2 linked regions of the Lytechinus pictus genome follow. The protein of the gene in region 1 interacts with the protein of each later gene in a pairwise test. Links are inferred from orthologs where the notes say so. Each region holds a gene or a part of one and is shown in the gene's direction. Other genes may lie near its edges.

Evidence for each region.
Region 2: the proteins of uncharacterized protein LOC129269308 (region 1) and polyribonucleotide 5'-hydroxyl-kinase Clp1-like interact in binary tests that used the Homo sapiens proteins (3 or more experiments, as listed by UniProt). The link is inferred for Lytechinus pictus from reciprocal best matches to the Homo sapiens genes TSEN54 and CLP1.

What each region holds. Positions count from the first base shown.
Region 1 is NC_087254.1:22,850,302-22,860,147, reverse strand, and holds the start of uncharacterized protein LOC129269308, read left to right. Parts: upstream 1-5,274; 5' UTR 5,275-5,556; intron 5,557-7,152; exon of another isoform or gene 7,153-8,317; intron 8,318-9,846. Other genes in the region: TNF receptor-associated factor 6-like, read left to right, coding at 1-465.
Region 2 is NC_087257.1:17,662,537-17,672,121, forward strand, and holds the start of polyribonucleotide 5'-hydroxyl-kinase Clp1-like, read left to right. Parts: upstream 1-5,831; 5' UTR 5,832-6,091; coding exon 6,092-6,190; intron 6,191-8,264; exon of another isoform or gene 8,265-8,374; intron 8,375-9,585. UniProt on the Homo sapiens protein: Polynucleotide kinase that can phosphorylate the 5'-hydroxyl groups of double-stranded RNA (dsRNA), single-stranded RNA (ssRNA), double-stranded DNA (dsDNA) and double-stranded DNA:RNA hybrids. dsRNA is phosphorylated more efficiently than dsDNA, and the RNA component of a DNA:RNA hybrid is phosphorylated more efficiently than the DNA component.

The sequences.
Region 1 (9,846 bases):
TCAATTATGAAGAATACCAATTACACGGGCCAACTCAACTGGAAAATCCAAATATGCTCACGTGACTTTAGTGCACCACTTCTGAGTCCACCTTTCTACACTTCCCCCGCTGGATACAAGCTCCGCCTCTGCCTTGAATTGAGGGGTCATGTGACACGCTCAGATTCCTACACGTCCATCTTTATCATGTTATGCAAAGGAGAGAACGACATGAACCTGTACTTCCCGTTCAGTGCCGTTTGTACCCTGATGCTCTTTGACCAGGTGGACTGTGAGAATCACCTCAACACCAACATCACTTGCCATAAGATGCCACGCCCTCATGAGGTCCAGAGCACCATGCAACGTCGTGGTAGGCTGCAGTTCATGAAGACGGACACTCTTATCAATGGTCGATTCTGCAATGCAGGGACGTTGTTCATCCGGGCTCGTGTGACTACCCTACCTCCATCCCACACCACATAGCAGAGCACTCCTAGAACACCTTGCAGATCTAGACTGCAGTTCATGAAGACAAACGCTCTTACCATGGAGCTACTAAGTAGCTCCATGCTCTTACCACTTGATTCTGCAAGACAGAGATGTTGTTCATCTGGGCTTCTGTGAGCGTCCTTCCATCAGTACATCCCACACCACATAGGAAAGTAGAGGATCACACCAGAGCTTCTAGGGCCTACGTGACATATCTCATGGTCACTTATTTATCTATTTGATGGAGGACATAGGTGTGGTTATAGATGCTATTTTTTGTATATTCCAACGCCTTCTTTAATTAATTGTATATGTTTATTGATTTTTACCGTCGCAATAAAATTACAAATATTTATTCTTATAATGTGCCTTAGATGTTTTCTATGTAGTTTCCTATATCCTGTAAGTTCTACATTTTGTATTTATAACTGTGTTAGGGCGTGTGGTTTTATTCCTTCGTAATGCTTGTGTTAATTTGTGTTATCTATCTTACTGTACAAAGTTGTTGATATTGTTGAGATTTTTATATACAAATACAAATGAATAAAAGTCAGTAAGAGGACTTGTCATGTGTTCAACGACCAATATGTATAGTTTCTGAAACCACATTGCCCCGAATTGTCTTTATGTGCCATAAACATATATTGCTGAGTATAACTCAATTTCCATATAAACTATTAAATACGGTACGTTTTACTCGCCACTATTTGGCATCAACCATCGGAAGCATCGTACAATTCAAATTTAGATGCTCCAAAGTCAAGTGCAATATTCATTTTATTAGCTCAATCACTCGCACACTGCGTCCGATAATCACGATATCTTCAAGAATAACTTGCCAGTAATTTTAGAATTCGAAGAAATTACATTTTTGTATTCATCCAGCTGAATTACGGAATTCTTGAAAATACTCGTAGATTAACTCGTAGATTAATGTAATTATTTTTTGCTCGTAATTACTTTGCCCATATCATGTATGTGACGCTTTCTCCATGCAACCATTTAAGACGGGGTACAAGAATAATTCCCTGTGAAACATCCCAGCTGATTGAAAGCACCAGAGCTGCAAGTCAGTGCGCCATCTATTGTTTGGTATCTGTCATTCTACTAGTATTTCAGATATTCAGTGGTTCCGGTGCATTCCTTAGGGAGTATACCTTCATGATCCAAAATGTTTTCTTTTTCACAGCTTTACTTATATTAGATCTCTAAAAACTCGTCATGTAGAGTGATATACAACTGATAACAATTTCAGCTGTGTTGCAAAATTATTTCTTTTTTAATACGAAATGCGAGACAATATTTATGAATGTCAGAAGGCTTTCACCCGGCTTTTTCATTCGGCATAACAACTATCATGATATCATAGCATGCCTACAAATTCATAGCTAGTTTATGGTGAAAATTTTACTTTCATTAGGATAAATCTTATCAAGACATGTGAATATTTTTATCAGTTACTTTCTTTCCTGTCTTTGGACTGATATTATTTTATGTATTCAATTGTATTTTAGCCATTTTCATGTTATGATATTAAAAGGATATATAGATGTTAAAAAAAGATAAAATATGATGACTAGTCTTTTTTACATGGTGTCTACATATTATTATTATAAACAGTATACACAGGGCATCTGAATCATACGACATTACTAATATTAAAGAGAACAGACAAGACTTCCCCCGGTAATTTTGGACAAAAAAAGGGGGGGGGGGGGAAGGGAAGCAATTCACAACTATAGTAAGGTGTATTACATGGGCACATGAAATTAATAATTTCGTTATTATTTGTCACTAGAAAAATAGCGAAAGATTATCTCACCGTCACAATTTCTCTCACAATCTGTCAAGAAAAAAGGGTTTCACCCCCCCCCCCCCAAAAAAGGGGGCTTATTTCTTTTTTCAATTCCAAAAGAGGAGGAACGCCAACTATTAATTACCAAATAATTTCAAGAGGACTAAAAACTTGCATTCTGTTAACCTCGGTGCATTATCGATCATTTTCTTTCATCAAATGTGAAGCAAGCTATAGGCCCAAATTCCAGAGGCTGGGTAAGGGGGATTGTAATAAAATTGCTGACAACCCCCCCCCCCAAAAAAAAAGCACGATAATAATAAAAACTATCTCCAGGTGAGATTACAAGCAACAAAATAAAAATCACTCCAGAAATTGTCAATTTCATTTCTGACAAATTTAGAACGCGGTGTGTTTATGTTTATGGGGGAGTGGAGAAAACATTCTCACTTAAGTTATGTAAAATACGACACTGACAAAAATAAATCCATCTCTATTCACTTGACCCAGCGCATGATTCGTGTTGTCGCAAATCATTTCACAAAATATTGAAATTGTTTGAGGAAGAGAGGGCAGGCCCCCCTCCTCGCCTCGTCACCCGTGGCAGATTCAGAAGGGGGTCTACCGAGCCCCATCCATATCTGTAAATGGGATTTTTTTTTAAAGACAATATAACATTGTGCACTTTTGAGGGGGGGGGGGTCTCGCGTCAAGGGATGATGAGGGTTGTGGAATGATGTCCACCTTTACGTGTCTAAAACATATTGGATGGGAAAGTCAGAAATGTGGCGTCCTAGCTTTGACTTTCTCTTTTATTTTTTTATGTTTTGTACATTTGAGTTCTATGTTGAATCGCACCTCTTTCATCACAAAATAAATAAATTGATAACTACGTATAGCGCATATTCTCAAAAGGGCTTAAAATTGCATAAATATAGAGCGGAGGTTACTGTAGTTATATTTGCGAATGAAGAACATATTAAAAGACCAATTAAGCGGGCGCACAAGGAAACTTTGAGATGTAAGACTTTTTCTTGAATACCTATAGCCACTGCTCCAACTTGGAACGTATTCTTTCTAACTATATAATTTCATACAGGTAAAATTCACCGAACTGAACTTCATTAAAATCTGATAACAAAATAACGATTTTTTTTTTTTTTTTTTTTTGGGGGGGGGGGTGAATTCAACTTTTGAGCTCTGTAACAAGCTAAGGGGTTGCTAGTGAGTGAAAAGCGACCTTCCATTATAAGCGGCACTCTTTCGTTTTAGGAACCACCATTTTATACATAATGAAAAATCACCCTTTCATATCATTATGAGTAGAATGACCCTTATAACATTTCATATAAACTGAGACCCTTATCAATGCTGTCGAGGTTCTGGAAAATACCCCCCTGACATAGAAACAACCAGTTACATGTATTTCATCTTTATAAATCTATAGATCATTGTGCCTTCTTGTTTATATAAAAAATATATGTATATATTTTTTCTAGTATTGGGAGGAAAAAAAAATTCTCTAAAACTAGGATGACCGTTTTTGTCAAATAGACCCAGTAGGCCTACATCTTTTTACAAAGTGACCGGCCAGTCTCTTGACCTCTTTTCTTTTCTAACAACCTTTTTCTCTAATTTAGCGACATTCTCTTGCATCATGAATACCGACCCTATAAACGATATCTATGAAAAGTTAGCATTTGAACATATCGGTTTCCTAGCATAATGCCCCTCCCCCAACCGCCCCAATTATTGCGTAATAGAATAGAGAGACATTGGTAGCTTCCTTTGTTCGTGTTTATGTACTTGTATACCAACGAACGTAGAGGGCAGCAACACACAAGCGTGTTGCTATAAGGAAGGTCAACTCGATACGCGCATGCAGCTGAGCTGCGCGCGTATTTTATTGTTCATGCCAACGAAATCAAATGCCGATCCAATACAACAACAAATTAGTAGCGATAAAAAAACGAATATGAAAGAATATGACTACAACAATATCAAAGATAACTTTAAAAATATGTTGAGGAATATACATACATATAAAAACATACTTTGATATTTAAAACTTTACAAATATAAGTTTCAGGAAACTAAAATCATTACCAAATCGGTGATTGTTGTTATCAGCGATTTCACCAGACGGCTGTATTAGGTGATTTGCGTCGAGACGATTTTGTGACCACTCGCAAAGCATTTCGGGATTGAATATAACCACCTTATTTTCTCTGAGCTCTTCGCTGAACCCATCATCACAGTGCAGCTGCAGCGCAGCGCGCAGCCAATGCAATGCATCCGATGCATGGGTTGTTTTTTCGCCGTCCATGCCATGGTCTCGGACTCAGAGTTGAAATTTAGACCCGGATTTCGGGGATACAGCGCCTTTATTTCAGATTTATAGACTTAAAAGTCAAATGACATTTAAAATTTGAAATCTAACCTTGAACAATCATCGTTGATAAACATCAGCCCTGAAGCCATTACACTTCAAATCAGGCCAGGCAAATTAGACGTCATTGTCTAAGTTGCTAGATCTATGACGAGTCGCCTGAAGCCCCAGCGCATCATCAACGTCACTAGCTAGCTGCGCGACCGGGCCAGACTCGGCGCACCCAGGCCAGAAAAATGACCTCGATTATTACGGTGGTTGTCTAAGCATTTATTAGTGGTGCAGCGAAATTCAGCAGAAGAAAATAAGAGATATGAGGTATCCTCGTCACAGGCTTAATATTCCAAAATGAGGAAAAATGTCAAAATCATGATTATTTAAGCTAGATATTTTCTTTAAAAATAAAAGTAATATTTTTAATATTTATACCCAGAATGACCGATCTAATAATTGTTCATTAAAAAATATTTGAAATTAACAAATGAAAAAAAATCAACTCGACAAATTTCCCAAAACCCCACCTTATTTTTTAAAGTGGTCACAAAATTCGAGCGGAGTTGACCTTCCTTAGAGCAACACGCATGTGTGTTGCTGCCCTCTACGTTCGTTGTTGTATACTATACAAGGTCCAAATGCACGTGTACTGCCGTGTGACGACGACCAGTGACGCCGATCTGCATATATCTGCATTATCTGCCGAGTAAAAGGCGATGTGAGCGGCGCTCCCGCCGGCCGAAGCTAGGCGAGTGCAGCCGGCGCCCGGGCCTTAAATCAAGAGAGCGCGAGGGTACGGTACGGCCGCGTATCGTGAATGATTCAACTTCAAAACAATACGGAGGACCGGTACGGTACGCCTGGCCAAAAAAATTATTTAAAAAGTCCACAATTCACATGATTTATGGTAAGTTTACTTTATGTTTCGAAAATGCGTATATTATACCCTTTTCTTGATCTATCCCAAAAGCAGGATTTTTGTGCGTTATATTGCGTAGTCGTACTCGTAGTCGTAGATATGTAACAAAGTTAGAGAATTCTCAAATGGAGCTCACTATCGACTGAGTGTCGTGTGTATGCCAGCGCCCAGGCTCTACACAAAAACGACCATTACCATGTCAGCATGTGGAATTTCTTAAGCACACAAATTATGGGGGAAATCACGATTCCTTGATTATTTATACTTGATAGCTTGTGTAATTGGCAAGACTTCCATCATGTCCATATGTCCCCTCCACTAAAATTGAAAAAAAAAATATGGAGAAGGTTTATCAAGAATTATCTAACAACATATATCTGACTAAGAGATTTAAAGGACAAGTCCACCCCAACAAAAAGTTGATTTGAAAAAAAGGAGAAAAATCCAACAAGCAAAACACTGAAAATTTCATCAAAATCGGATGTAAAATAAGAAAGTTATGACATTTCTAAGTTTCGCTTAATTTCACAAAACAGTTATATGCACATCCTGGTCGGTATGCACATTGGCAGACTAATGACGTCACCCACTATTTCTTTTCTATTTTATTATATGAAATATGAAATATTCTAATTTTCTTCTCGTCAAGTGAAACAAAGTTTTATTTCTCACTGAACATGTGGAATTACCATTATTTTAACAGTTTATGGTTAAGTTAAGTTGGTCCTTATTGGCAAATCTGTAAAAATTGAAATATTGTATTATTCAAACAATAAAAAACAAAAGAAATAGTGAGTGATGGACATCATCGACTTTCTCATTTGCATATCGCTGAGTTGTGCATTGAACTGTTTTGTGAAAAATAAGCGTAACTTAAAAATGTCATAATTTTCATATTTTACATCCGATTTCGATGAAACTTGCAGCGTTATGTTTGTTTGATTTTTCTCTATCGAATCAAATCAAATATTTTCTGGGGTGGACTTGGCCTTTAAGAAGGAAAAGTTGGATACATACCAAAATATGGCTTTATTCCGTCAAAAATTCGAGTGTGTGTAATTCCCGATATCATTGGTATATTTAGTCAGAAAAATAAATGCCCAATACTCTTGGAGAGTAGACTAGTCGTAATATCGGTTGAAACCGTTTGCTTTCAACAATTTCTGTGGCTAGCTCAGTGAGTAAGGCGAGAGACTGGAGATTCATCGTTCTGCAACGAGAGGTTCGAATCCAAGTTCCAACCGGAAGTAAGAAGAAAAAAAAGAAGAAAAAGAGAATGAGAGAAGAGGGTTTTGGAGAAGTATTTTTAAAAATTAGTGGAGGGGACATAAGGAAGTCTTTCGTGTTCACACCTTATTTGAGCAGTGTTTCTATTTTGAACTTGGAGACATGGCTGGCCCTCATTTTTAGACTTAGGTTGAGCTGTTTGAGTGTGATGCCTGAAATGGATGGCTTGTGTTGTGAGCTGGGACTTGGGAGTGACATGAGTGAGGTCTACGTTCGTTATCTGTTGATCTTGACTGGTATGATTAAAAGTAAAATATAGGCCTAAGACAAGTCCTCTATTATCACCTAAACTAGTAGGGAGTACGGTGATTTTTTAAAATCTTGAAGGAATCCCAACAAATTTGATATCGTTGGAAAAATTGTGAAATAAGAAAAATAATGGTGCTTCAATCTACTCATTGTCTGATATATTGACGGAGATATTCCAATTTACAGGGAAAAATATGCAGACTTTGTTCTGTCAAAAAAAATGATAAAAGCTTGTTTGAGTGGGGAGACAGTGGCTTTTTGAAATCTTGAAGCCTTTTGAAGGAATCCCAACAAATTTGGTACTATTTGAAAGCTTGTGGTATAAAAAGAATGGTGCTTAAAATCAACTCATGATGTCAAATATTGACAGAGATATTTCTGTTTAAATGGGAGAATGTGCAGATTTTTTTACAGCAAAAGTTGATTTTCATAACTTACACAAAATGCAATGACTGGGACTGTGTAATCCTTCTTTTTAAAGTGCAATGCGCTGCTATGTGGGGCAATTTATGCCCTTGAATTATACATCATTTTATTCATAAAACTTCAAAGTTTCTCATGGTATAGGTTTCTATAGGGTTTTTCCTCCTTTAATGGCTTTATACTTGTTTTATACATGGGTGCACAGACAGATACATATTCTGAAAGCGGCATTTCACCCGAACTCCCTACCTAAACACATTCACTCAAAGGAAATTTCAGGCATTTGCTCACACTGGCCTTGTCCTCTGGATTTTTTTCATGTTTTTTATTTAAGAATGTAAATAAATTGAATTGGAATGATCTTCCCCTGGTTATCCGTGGATGCACTTCCATGGACACATTTAAACTTTAAGGCACTTCTAATTAATATACTAGTATCCTACTCTAAATTGTCAGTTCCTTAATTTATATCAATGTATATAAGTTTTCTCTCTCTTTCCATTTTTTTACTGCACCTTAAGCACTCTGCAGAGTGGATTAGGCGCATTACAATTCCCATCTATTATTATTATTATTATCATGTACAATATGTGGTTCCCCAACTTTGCACTTTGCTGAATGTAGCTGCGCAATTCTAATAACAAAAGGCACACAACAACCACTAACTGGTGTTCATCATTTTAAATCTCATTTCAGGGAGGGTTAGAAATGATACTCTATTAAATTTTTGGTGAGATCTCCATAACTTTTCAATTGTAAGTGGTCTTGTCTAGGTGCCATATTATCCCAGGTGCCCTCCAATATATCTATCTCCAATTTTGAATAGCAGGAAGTGCAAGCCTAGACCAAAAGCTTCGGTCTCTGTTATGTTGGTGGTTCAGCTGAACTCCGTTCAGCTGAACTCCTTCACTCACCAAAACAGAGACCGAAGTTCTAGCGCGATCTGTACAGGGGACTCAATGGCCATATGTTTATGTGTATTAAGTTCGGATAAAACAGGGCAGTGAAGTTGCGCGACAGCCGAGGTAAGTCACTGTTTTTGTTCCTTTTAACTTGATTTTCCCCGTTTTTTGGCAATTAATGCCAAGAGGGAATATTAATTTGCATTTCGGTTGCGTTAATTTTCAAATGTTTGATTCATTAAAGACGAAAATTGAAGAGCCCTGACGGGGGGATTTTGCATTGTAAATCCCCTAATGGTGGCTGCACGATAGCGAGCCGTCTGTGTATGTATTTTTTTAACTCCTCGAAACAGACGGCTGCCAGCTGTCTAGTGCAAGCCTTGAAATAAGCAGCTGCAGACCAGGGGCAATTTTTCAAAAAAAATTGCCCCCGGCTTACAGGCTTTTTACAGGAACCGGGGGCAATTAAAAAAATATATATATAACGGTGAACCACACTGCAAATTTGTTTATAGTAAGCGCAGCTCCTGCAATTTTTTAATTAGTACATGAATAGCATGCTAAGTATTAGGCTTACCGGTATTCAAACATTTAAGAAATCAGATTTAAATGTTTAAGTGTGTTTGAGGTACATTTGGATTGCATATGAATTATGTTAAAGAAATGAAATCAATATCTAACTCAGTCTATTCAAATTCCAGCACATAGCCACAGGCTATGTACATGTATTGTTGGTTCATGTACCTTAAGTTTTTCACAAGTTATTTGAAAACGCAGATCTCCACAGAAAATGCCTTTCATTCTGGGAGAGTCTAAATTCGGTGAAAATGTATTCATTAATAACTTAAATATTCATCACAATGAAGAAATAAAGTTTTTGACAGTTTTAAAAAATTAACATGAAATCTAAACTCTATCTGAAACGGAAAATCACCATCACTTTATAGGCCATTACTGATAGAATTCTCACCCAGAGCTCTGACAGAGAACATGAGCTCAAACTGGCTAGCTAACACCACACTCAAATGCACGGCGTCCTCCTGTTTTTTTTTTTGGAGCCTTGTTTGATGATTTATTGTCTGATATTTACCCCTCTCCAAGAAAGAAATTAAAAAGCTATAATTCACAACTATATAAAGCAAAGTGATTTTGGATTATTAAGGCTCCGTTTTGACAAGCAAAGTCGGCGACTGAGAGGATAAAAGACTCACACATCGTATGTGCTGTGAACAGGGATTTATCTCCTGTGCAATTCGAATTACTATATCGCAGAATTGTGATATCCCAACTGGAAATGTGTGCATTAGAAATTGCACATGGTGGAGTATGGAAAAACCGCTACCGGAAGCACGCGCGCACATGTATTACAGAAAAAAAAAACGGACGTAGCTCACTTTTTATAGTACAGAAAAAAAGT
Region 2 (9,585 bases), on another chromosome or scaffold:
TTCTGTGAAAAGTGCCCTCGCCCTCCCCTTGAAAAATCTGGATCTGCCCGTAAATAGGCCTTTGTGGTAAGAGATTTTTTAAATTTCATTTATTTTTTACTGAAAATCTTTTAGTTAGGTTTGGATTTTAAATCAATGAAAACAACTGTAAAGCGAGGATCTTTTATTCTTATTGCCAGATTATTCGTGACATAAATCTCCTTAACGGGGGGGGGGGGGGGGGGGGCGCGGTCAGGGGCGTGTTATTTTTTCTGTAAAAGAAAACCCCCCTTGGAAAATCCTGGATTTTCCCCTGATTAGACCCACAGTAAATTTCGTTATTCCGAATTTCTGTCTTTCTTCTTAAGCATTTTTGTTCAAATACTACATATAATAAATGTTCAGGAGTTATGTTCACCGTTGATACCCCATTATTTTTTTTCCCTTTTCTGGGGAAAAATAATTTTGAGTTTTTATCGATACGAAACAAAATTGCGAATTTGTCTTGATTGAAGCTATCATGACTTCCTTACCAGAATGCATTACGAGCAATGTTTCGTCGAAACCTGAGGTCAGTGGTCCAAACGGGTTGATAAGCCTCTGGTTTCGTGAGATCTTTTTTCTTTTTCGATTTGTCACTGTCAAACACCATAGACGTAATGGAGGCAGCTGGACGAGGTTCACGTAGAGAAATCGGTGACTTTTTATTCATTTTTTATATTATATTGATGACTTAGATGGCCTTTCCGTCAAAATAACAGTTTTAATTAACATACATGTATCAGTTACCGCATCAGTAGATCTACATCGATATTAGCTTTGAGGACCCCTTAATGATATTTTAAAATATTTTTACATACATACTTTTACACCATGAAGCCTTGAAGCCCTCCCCATTAGAAGCAGGACATGTAAACACGGATGGATTTCCCTAGGAAATCCATAATTAAATTTTAGAAATCACATAAATTTGTTGGATTTTATTTTTCTATACAACTTCATATGCTTAATGTGTATGAAGACCTGTACAAAAAAACTGTTAGTATTTATATGAAAAATGAGAGGTTTCTTACCAGACCGATCTCGTGTAGATCCCTCGATCCATTCGTAAACACCAGAAATACAATAGGCTTGACCCTTGAACCGCTTGGTTATGACGTAGCGTCGATAAGCGATGTTACAAAATGCTGTTTTGAAGAACAATTTGTAGATAAAAATTATTATTTAACAAATAATAACATTTGAAACTTGATTATAAATAATTATTATTATAATGGACAACTCTCCATTTGTTTTGTACACAAATTTTCAGATTTTCCCCATTATCTTTCAAATTGCCTCTTACCTCCTGATGTGATGAGCATAACATATGTCATGAGCAAATATAATTAACACCACGTATGTCAAGGTCAGGAGGAGACTATGTGAAATATGTCAAATAACGAGGAAAATCTCAAAATTTGTGTACAAAACTGATGGAGAGTTGTCCACAAAATCAGACATTATGAAGCCTGTTTGCCAATTTGAAGTTCCCCATAGAAAGTACAACAAGACTTTTCAAACTTCCATAACTCGCTTATTTTATAACCGATTTTGAAGAAACAAGTTTTAGTTTGCTAAGTCCTCTCATATCATTCTTTCTGACAAGATGGATTCTCCTTGTATTTTGGTTTCCTTTAGTTCATAAAGGGCAGGGCATTGCGCTGAATAACAGTTTGCAATGAATTGCTAAATGCCAATGACTGAATCATGAGCATCATTGCATCCACACTTTATTTTCAAAACAACTAATTTACAATTCACCACTGCTTGGTCTACAGGAGGGCTCAGCCTCGGTTTGGGCCTATAGATGTCTATCGATTAGTGACAGAAAAGCCTCAGTTCCAGGCTACATGTAGATAATCAGATCTGATAGTACAGGGTCTTGTTTCGTACTAGACTTGTTATAATAGCAAATGCACAATTTCTCTAATTGATTTACTTTCAGTTAAATAATATACAGATTTGCAATAACGATTAAAACTAAAAAGCTCCTGAAATCATCCAATCTGATTGGCTTTAAAGTAAACCTATTTGAGAAATAACAAGTCCTAATGAAAATGGGCACTTCAAAGAATTACTACATTGGAACCTTTATTATGATTGGCTGCAGATCCTTTGTAGACACGATAGATGCCATAATGACAAATTTTACTATGATTTTACTCAAGATTATGAATGCATAATGAAGCTGGCCCCTGGTCTGTAAATAAATCACAATTCAGTTTTTTCACACGCAGCACTTCTCTCTAATAGAAAGTATATGTACCTAGTTCATGAAACTTGGCCATAAGGTTAATCAAGTATCACTGAACATCCTGTGCGCATTTCAGGTCACATGACCAAGGTCAAAGGTCAATGAATTTTTGCCATAATGGGAGTATCTGTTGAATTACCATCATAACTTTGAAAGTTTATTGATCTGATTCATGAAACTTGGACATCACATAAGAGTAATCAAGTATCTTTGAACATCCCAAGTTTCAGGTCACATGACCAAGATGTCCAAAAACTATTGCCTTAATACTAGCTTCTCTAATTTTTAGGTAAAGGAGAAAATTAATTAATACGATTGTTGAATTCAATTGAATGAACGTGCAAGATTGCAACATCTGCGCGCAAAGGGTTAAGATTTGGCTTCTTTTCTTTTCTCTCTTTTTTTGTATTAAATCCTTGTAATTTGATCATCGTTTGTGCTTGTAGAGTATCTATGTGGTACATGTTGATAAAATACCTGTGTCTCATTTACTTTTGATAAATCTACATGTGTTATATATAAGTAGAATTGTAAGAGCAATTACATTCATTTATTTAGTTATTTTTTCTTTATGGATATTCATAGCATAGAATGATTAAGAACATTCCAGAATGTCTCAGTAAAGCTTTGTTACACGTGAGGAATTTTGTTATTTCTGAATAGAGACTGCAACACAATAGGATTGGTGGTAGTGAAAAGAACAATGCTGTTTACATCTTGTTAATTTCACTGAGGTCATTCAAGAGGCTTCTAAAATTAGACTGCTCTAGAAATTGGCAGAATGTTCTTTTTGTAGACAATACTAGAAGCTTCCAGAACAGGAAATAATTTATAATATAAGCTGGCAGTTTCGTCAAGGACATCACATCACATCAGAACTCAGAGTTTCACACCAGACTTTATGTCAGAGCAGAGTTTATTTCCACCTGGAATATTTATCTTCTGTGGAATTTTCCACGCCATCAATGAACTGTTTGCAGTTACTTTGAGAGAGGAATTCTCAGTTCTCATCGAGATCATCAACCTGTTTTAATGAACGCTTTTCAACCCATGGATTGCTGAAATTTAATCATCATCAACATCGTCTTCACAGACATTTCAACTCGTTCAGTGACTCTTGTTATTCATCGTGCTTAACATAAATTTCATCATCGCCATCATTGTGAACTTTAATTTAAGGAATCTTCGCCAGCCAACTTGGATTTATTTGGATATACTATCATAACCTTCAGCAAGGAATTCTTCCACAGTGTGCTGCACTCGACCCAGGTGAGGTAAATGGGTACCGGCAGGAAGTAATTCCTCAAAAAGCTGTGTGCACCGAATAGGTAGCCTAGCTTAGCCGGGTAATAATAGCAGGGCCCGCTGGGAGAACAGTTTTCGGAACTGAAGTGGCTACCCTGGGTAAATATACCTTTATTATTATTATTATTATAACCTTGGATTGCACATGTGACACTTCAATAGACGTAAGATCAATATTTATTTATGTTTTGTTAGTTTATGATTGTTATATTTCCTGTATTAAAAATAAAAAAAGGGAATCAAATTTAAAACTAAATTTTTATTGTTATTTGTTGCAGTATCATAACACATGTAATGATTAATACAATTGAAGTTTAATATACAGTTTGAATTCATTGAAAATTTAAATATTTTTTTTAATTTGCTATATCATAATATTCCACATCCAAATAGATGTTATCAACATTTGTACAAAAGCTGCATGAGAGATAGACGAGAACAATGTATCTAAAGTGGAGGATTTACTAAGGTCACATCAGCTTTAAACAAATCAGAAATCGGGCTATATTATATACAATGCAAAATAAATTGTAAATTAATGAAGGTAATTATTCAGAGCAGAAAAATTACCCCCAAATCATGAAAATTTATAAAATGGTGAAGTTTTCCTTTAATAATGGAACTTTTTGGAAGCATCACTCAGCTGTGGAACTCACATCCGCCAAACATTTTTCTTTAAGCTCCCAACATGGACAGATTGATTTTTTTTTGGTAATTCACATTTAATTGAAGTTTGTTGTAAGAAGTTTCTTATGTTATTTTATGTTCAATGTATGATGCAGACATAGTTTAATAAAAAAAATAAAAACTTGAAATTCTAATAATAATAATTTTGATAATAATATTGCATTTATAGATCGCTTAATATCAAGATCTCCATGCGCTTTACATTATTTAGAAGAATTTATATAGATATACAATTATTTTCACATTCTACATTATTATGTTAACATTGAATATACATTACATGACATCAGTACAAGGTATAATACTATTGACTACATTATTAAACTATATCAAATACAACAGTGAGAATACTATAGATAGGTCTTGATAGATTAATACATGTACATGTACATGTAAAAACATTCTTAATCTTTGATGGCTTTTCCTCAAACCTTTGCCAATATTTTTTTATATTTTCTTCTGCTAGTAGTATACTATTATAACAAGTTTTTGTTAGGTGAACTTCCATTTTAAGTATTTTTTTTTTAATTCCATGATAACGGTTTATTTTGGAAACATTTTATCATGTAATATTGATATGCCCTCCCCCCCCCAAAAAAAAAAAAAATAGGAATGCATACCCACTAATAAAAACTGAATCTGAAGAAAATAATTATGGGGGAAAAAAGCAATTGGGAAATAATTGTGATGAGCCAAATGTTATACTGACTAATGTGTGATTATTAGGTTGTGTATCCTTACATTTGATTGTCTCAAATGTTTCTACTTTTGATTATTTTAAAGATATTGAAGGTGATTCATCAGTTGAATCAGAGATGGGGTTATGGGGGGTTGTCATGTTCCCCACTCCCATGGAGTAATCATGTAGATCATCCAAACCAGCTCATCATATTCATCTTGCTACCTCCTTAGAGGTAACAGGAAAGGATTAATCCTAACTGATGATACTGTATTTAAAGTTGGATTCTGGTATGTACAATTCATGAGTACCTTCCTGGTACAGTTAGTAATTATTTATCCAGTCAAATATTTGTCTGCCTTCATGATTATTTTTTACTTTTAGGAGCTTGATTGAAAAGAATGTAGTTTACTTCAAGTAATCTGTGAATGATTTGACTATATATTGATTCGGGGTGTATTTTTTTTTGAAAAACAGGTAAAATTTGTAAGTTTGTCCATACCCCTTCATGCCCTGATGAATATTCATTCCAGCAAATTGAATATGCATGAGTTTTTATTGTAGACTTTGATTTCAGTCAATTTGTCAATAAGTTATGTTCCTAGTTCTTTCAGTTAAATTTAATAATCTGCTTTATGTCATGAAGTCCACTCTTACATGTATATTTATTTGCATTCACATTTGTACAAGTATTAATTAATGAGTTAATCCCCGCAAGCATACACATGACAAATTCTGTCAGCCAAGGTTGTTATTTAAAAAGTGTGCATGGGGAGACTATTCTTTGCCTTGTGGATTGACATGTGCTTTTTGTGTGTACAATGTACATTGCATATCGCATGCTGCCCCCTGCACATAACAATACAATGCACATAGCATGGAGCTATAGCTCTATGCACAGAGCATGTGTTTGTGTATAGTGTGTGTTCCCTGTGCAATTTACATGTAGCTGTAATGTGTGTATTCTAGTGAACAGCTGCAGGGGTACCCTGCATAAATTTACTACGAACCATGAGCCAGTAGGTCCATGATCAGCTGTACAAAATATATTGCATACTATACTGCATTCAGCTCAATTCATTTTCCTGAATGTAGTAGCTGCATGATTGCTTGTCATTGGGTGTAATACTCTGTTATAATTCCATATGGAACCCCCTGAAGAAATACCCGTTGAAATTAATGTTAATGCGAAAGATTGCTCAAATTGGGAAGAGTTAAAAGCTCAGGCCAGTCTAGGAGAAGAGGTAAGAATTTAATTGTCAAATTAAAATTTTACAAATTTGTGATAAAATATAGGCCTACATGTTTTTACAATTAATTACAGTGTAGTTATGATTTGATATCATATTTTTTTGGTATAAATGTATGTACAGTGTATTTCTTAATCTGTTTGTTGCAGTTGTACAGTATACATATACGGTACATCATGACTTCAACATCGTCAGGTATATATTTTAAGTTATTTTTTATTTTCTTAGATTAGAATTATGAATATGGAAATATAATTTTATATCTTTCCTGTCAATTGTGCACCTGATGGGGGGGGGGGGGAGAAGGGGTGCACTCAACTATGTTGCTGTAAACACGCTCAACCATGTTCTTTTTTTCGATCATTACGCTTAATTCTTGTGTGACACTTTGAGGATCTACATAGTACATGTAAGGATGTCAGAAAATGAATTTTTGTCAAGTAAAAATAAATGTTTTGGGGGTTATACTTGTTCGGGGGGTGGGGGCAAAATTGTCGAAGAAGCACACAAAAATACTTGAATAGGGTATGAATTTGACCACGGATAAAACTTGTGGGTTTGTACTTTGTAAAACTTGTACTGTATGTATGTAGTTGAGCCGTTCTGGAGACCCCCATTTTAATTTAAGACCAAGGTTTAGTTCCAGAGCCCCCTATTTTCGACTTTGTTACATCTAGGTATCATGTTATAATTCCAGTACATGTACCCCCTCCCCCCCCCCTCTGGTGCACTTGTGCATGGCAATGCAGTCTCCCCCCCCCCTCCCCGATTGCACACCACAAGGGCTTGCATACTCAAAAATCTATCTGTTTAGATGAACTTTTTTTCACTTATTTCTTTTTTTTTTTACAAGTACAGTGGAACAATCGAAAAATATAGAGACTGGTCAACCTGAAGCTTTTGGCTTTAAATAAATTGCCCCTGAACAAAGACACACACACACATTTCTATATTTCTTTTCTTTGCTTTTAAAAGTTAAGCTAACTGAATTCTTCTTTGTGAGTATTTCCTTTTTCATTTACATTTTCTTTTGAGAATAAAAATTCATATTGGACTCTCTTTTCTCATATGTTTTTCTCTATTTAAGAGCTGAAAAAAAAGCTAAAATTTAAATATTGGATTCATCCTTAAAATTAATTTCTTCATCTATGGAATTTGATTTCTACTTTTTTATTGTAATGTTTTGCGTGAATTCCACAAAGTTGTTCATGTCCATCTTGATCATTTCAATATAATGAAAAAAAATTGAAAATTCCTTTTGCTCTTTCACAAAAAAAATGTGCAAATAAACAATGTACATGTACATGAATGAGGATCCTCTTTAAAGGACAAGTCCACTCCAACAAAAAGTTGATTTGAATAAAAAGAGAAAAATCCAACAAACAACACTGAAAATTTCATCAAAATCGGGTGTAAAATAAGAAAGTTATGACATTTTAAAGTTTCGCCTAATTTCACAAAACAGTTATATGCACATCCTGGTCTGTATGCAAATGAGGAGACTGATGACGTCATCCACTCACTATTTCTCCTGTATTTTATTATATGAAATATTCTAATTTTTTCCTCATTGCCAAGTGAAACAACGATTAATTCCTCCCTGAACATGTGGAATTAACATTGTTTGATAATATATGGTTCAGTCAAGTTGATCCTTATTGTCAAATTTGTAAAAAATGAAATATTGTATAATTAAAACAATTAAAAAAAAAGAAATAGTGAGTGAGGGACATCATCGACTATCTCATCTGCATGTCACTCAGTTGTGTATATCACTGTTTTGTGAAAAATATTTGGAACTTTAAAATGTCATAACTTTCTTATTTTACATCCGATTTTGATGAAATTTTCAATGTTGTGCTAGTTTGATTTTTCTCTATTTATTCAAATCAACATTTTTCTGGGGTGGACTTGACCTTTAAAAAACAAAGCTTGTAAAAGCTAGGTTCCCACTGATGACGGAATTAGTAAGAGTAAATAATTCTTATTATTTCAATCACATTAAGATCAGGTAAGCATGCAGAGAGGTGATTAGCAACATGCCTTGCTGTCATTTATTTTCCTTAATAGCAAGTCATCATACAGACTCACAAAATGCTCCGAGTCACATTGCTCTCCGCATGAATCTTGACGATGATGCCGTAACGCCTAATTGCTGGGGATAAGGCTGGATTACTGGTAAAAGTTCAATTTGTGAATAATTTCTCTTTTTACATCATGATGGGGAAAATGTTATGTCATATCTTATGTTTGCAAGTCGCATAGTGCTTATGTTTTTATAATCATGCCAACAATGACATGATTAAGAAAACCTTGAAATTATTTTTCTGAAGCGTACATGATACAATCTGTTTGGGCTCAAAATAGTGAGATTAGATAATGCTGGATTACTGATAAGAGTTCAATTTTGTGAACCCCTCTTCTTACATCATGCAAGTGAAAATATTATGTCATATTCGTGTCCATGTTTTTTATAGTCTTCAATTGGATATATTTGGTAAAATCAACTCTTGTCAGCGATGGCATATATAACTGATGAATACTTTTTGTAGGTCATGCATATTTGTCTCCAAGTGTTGAGATGGAGAATGATATCTATGCATGGTTAAGGTAAATTTTGTGAAACCCTCTGTCGTTTCTCACGCTGTAGCTGAGAAAATGCTGTTGCACTTCGATTGTGTTTAAAAAAAGAAAATCTCTATACCGGTACATAGTAAAGCCTAATGACTATTAATTTAGCATTGATATCATAAGTAATGAGATAGGATATTAAAGGCTGGAATAGATCATCTTATATGAAACCCTACGGCCCGTATTCTGAAGTCTGGTTTAACTTAAACTCAGGTTTAAAGTTGTGGTTTTAGTATGGGAAGCCAAAAGTATCAATTTTTTAAATTAAGTTTTATGTTTCTTATGTTTACTGTGCTCTTTCCTGATTCATTGATGGTGAATACAATAATCTTTTTATACTTCCTAGACAATTATGAATGATTTTAGAGCCAACTAATAAAGCTGAATTATGATATCTGTACTGTTAGTGATTTATGTAACAATTGGCTCTCCATACTTAAACCACAACTTTAAACCTGAGTTTAAGTTAAACCCAACGTCAGAATACGGGCCTAGATGTTCATGCATATCAAGCACAAACAATTTTTTATGGAGATGTGGTCTCACTTCATGTATTTTCCAAACATCTATCACTTATCCCTGTCTGGTTTAGAAATAACTTTTATTATATTATTTTTTTTTATAATACAGAATGGGCCGGCAGGGGGGGTACCCATTTATGTTCATTTTTTAGAGATATCCTGTAATGTACATCTGTATGGCATGTAATATGATATGCATATTTGTAAAACTTGTTTAATTCTATTCTCTTTGTATAT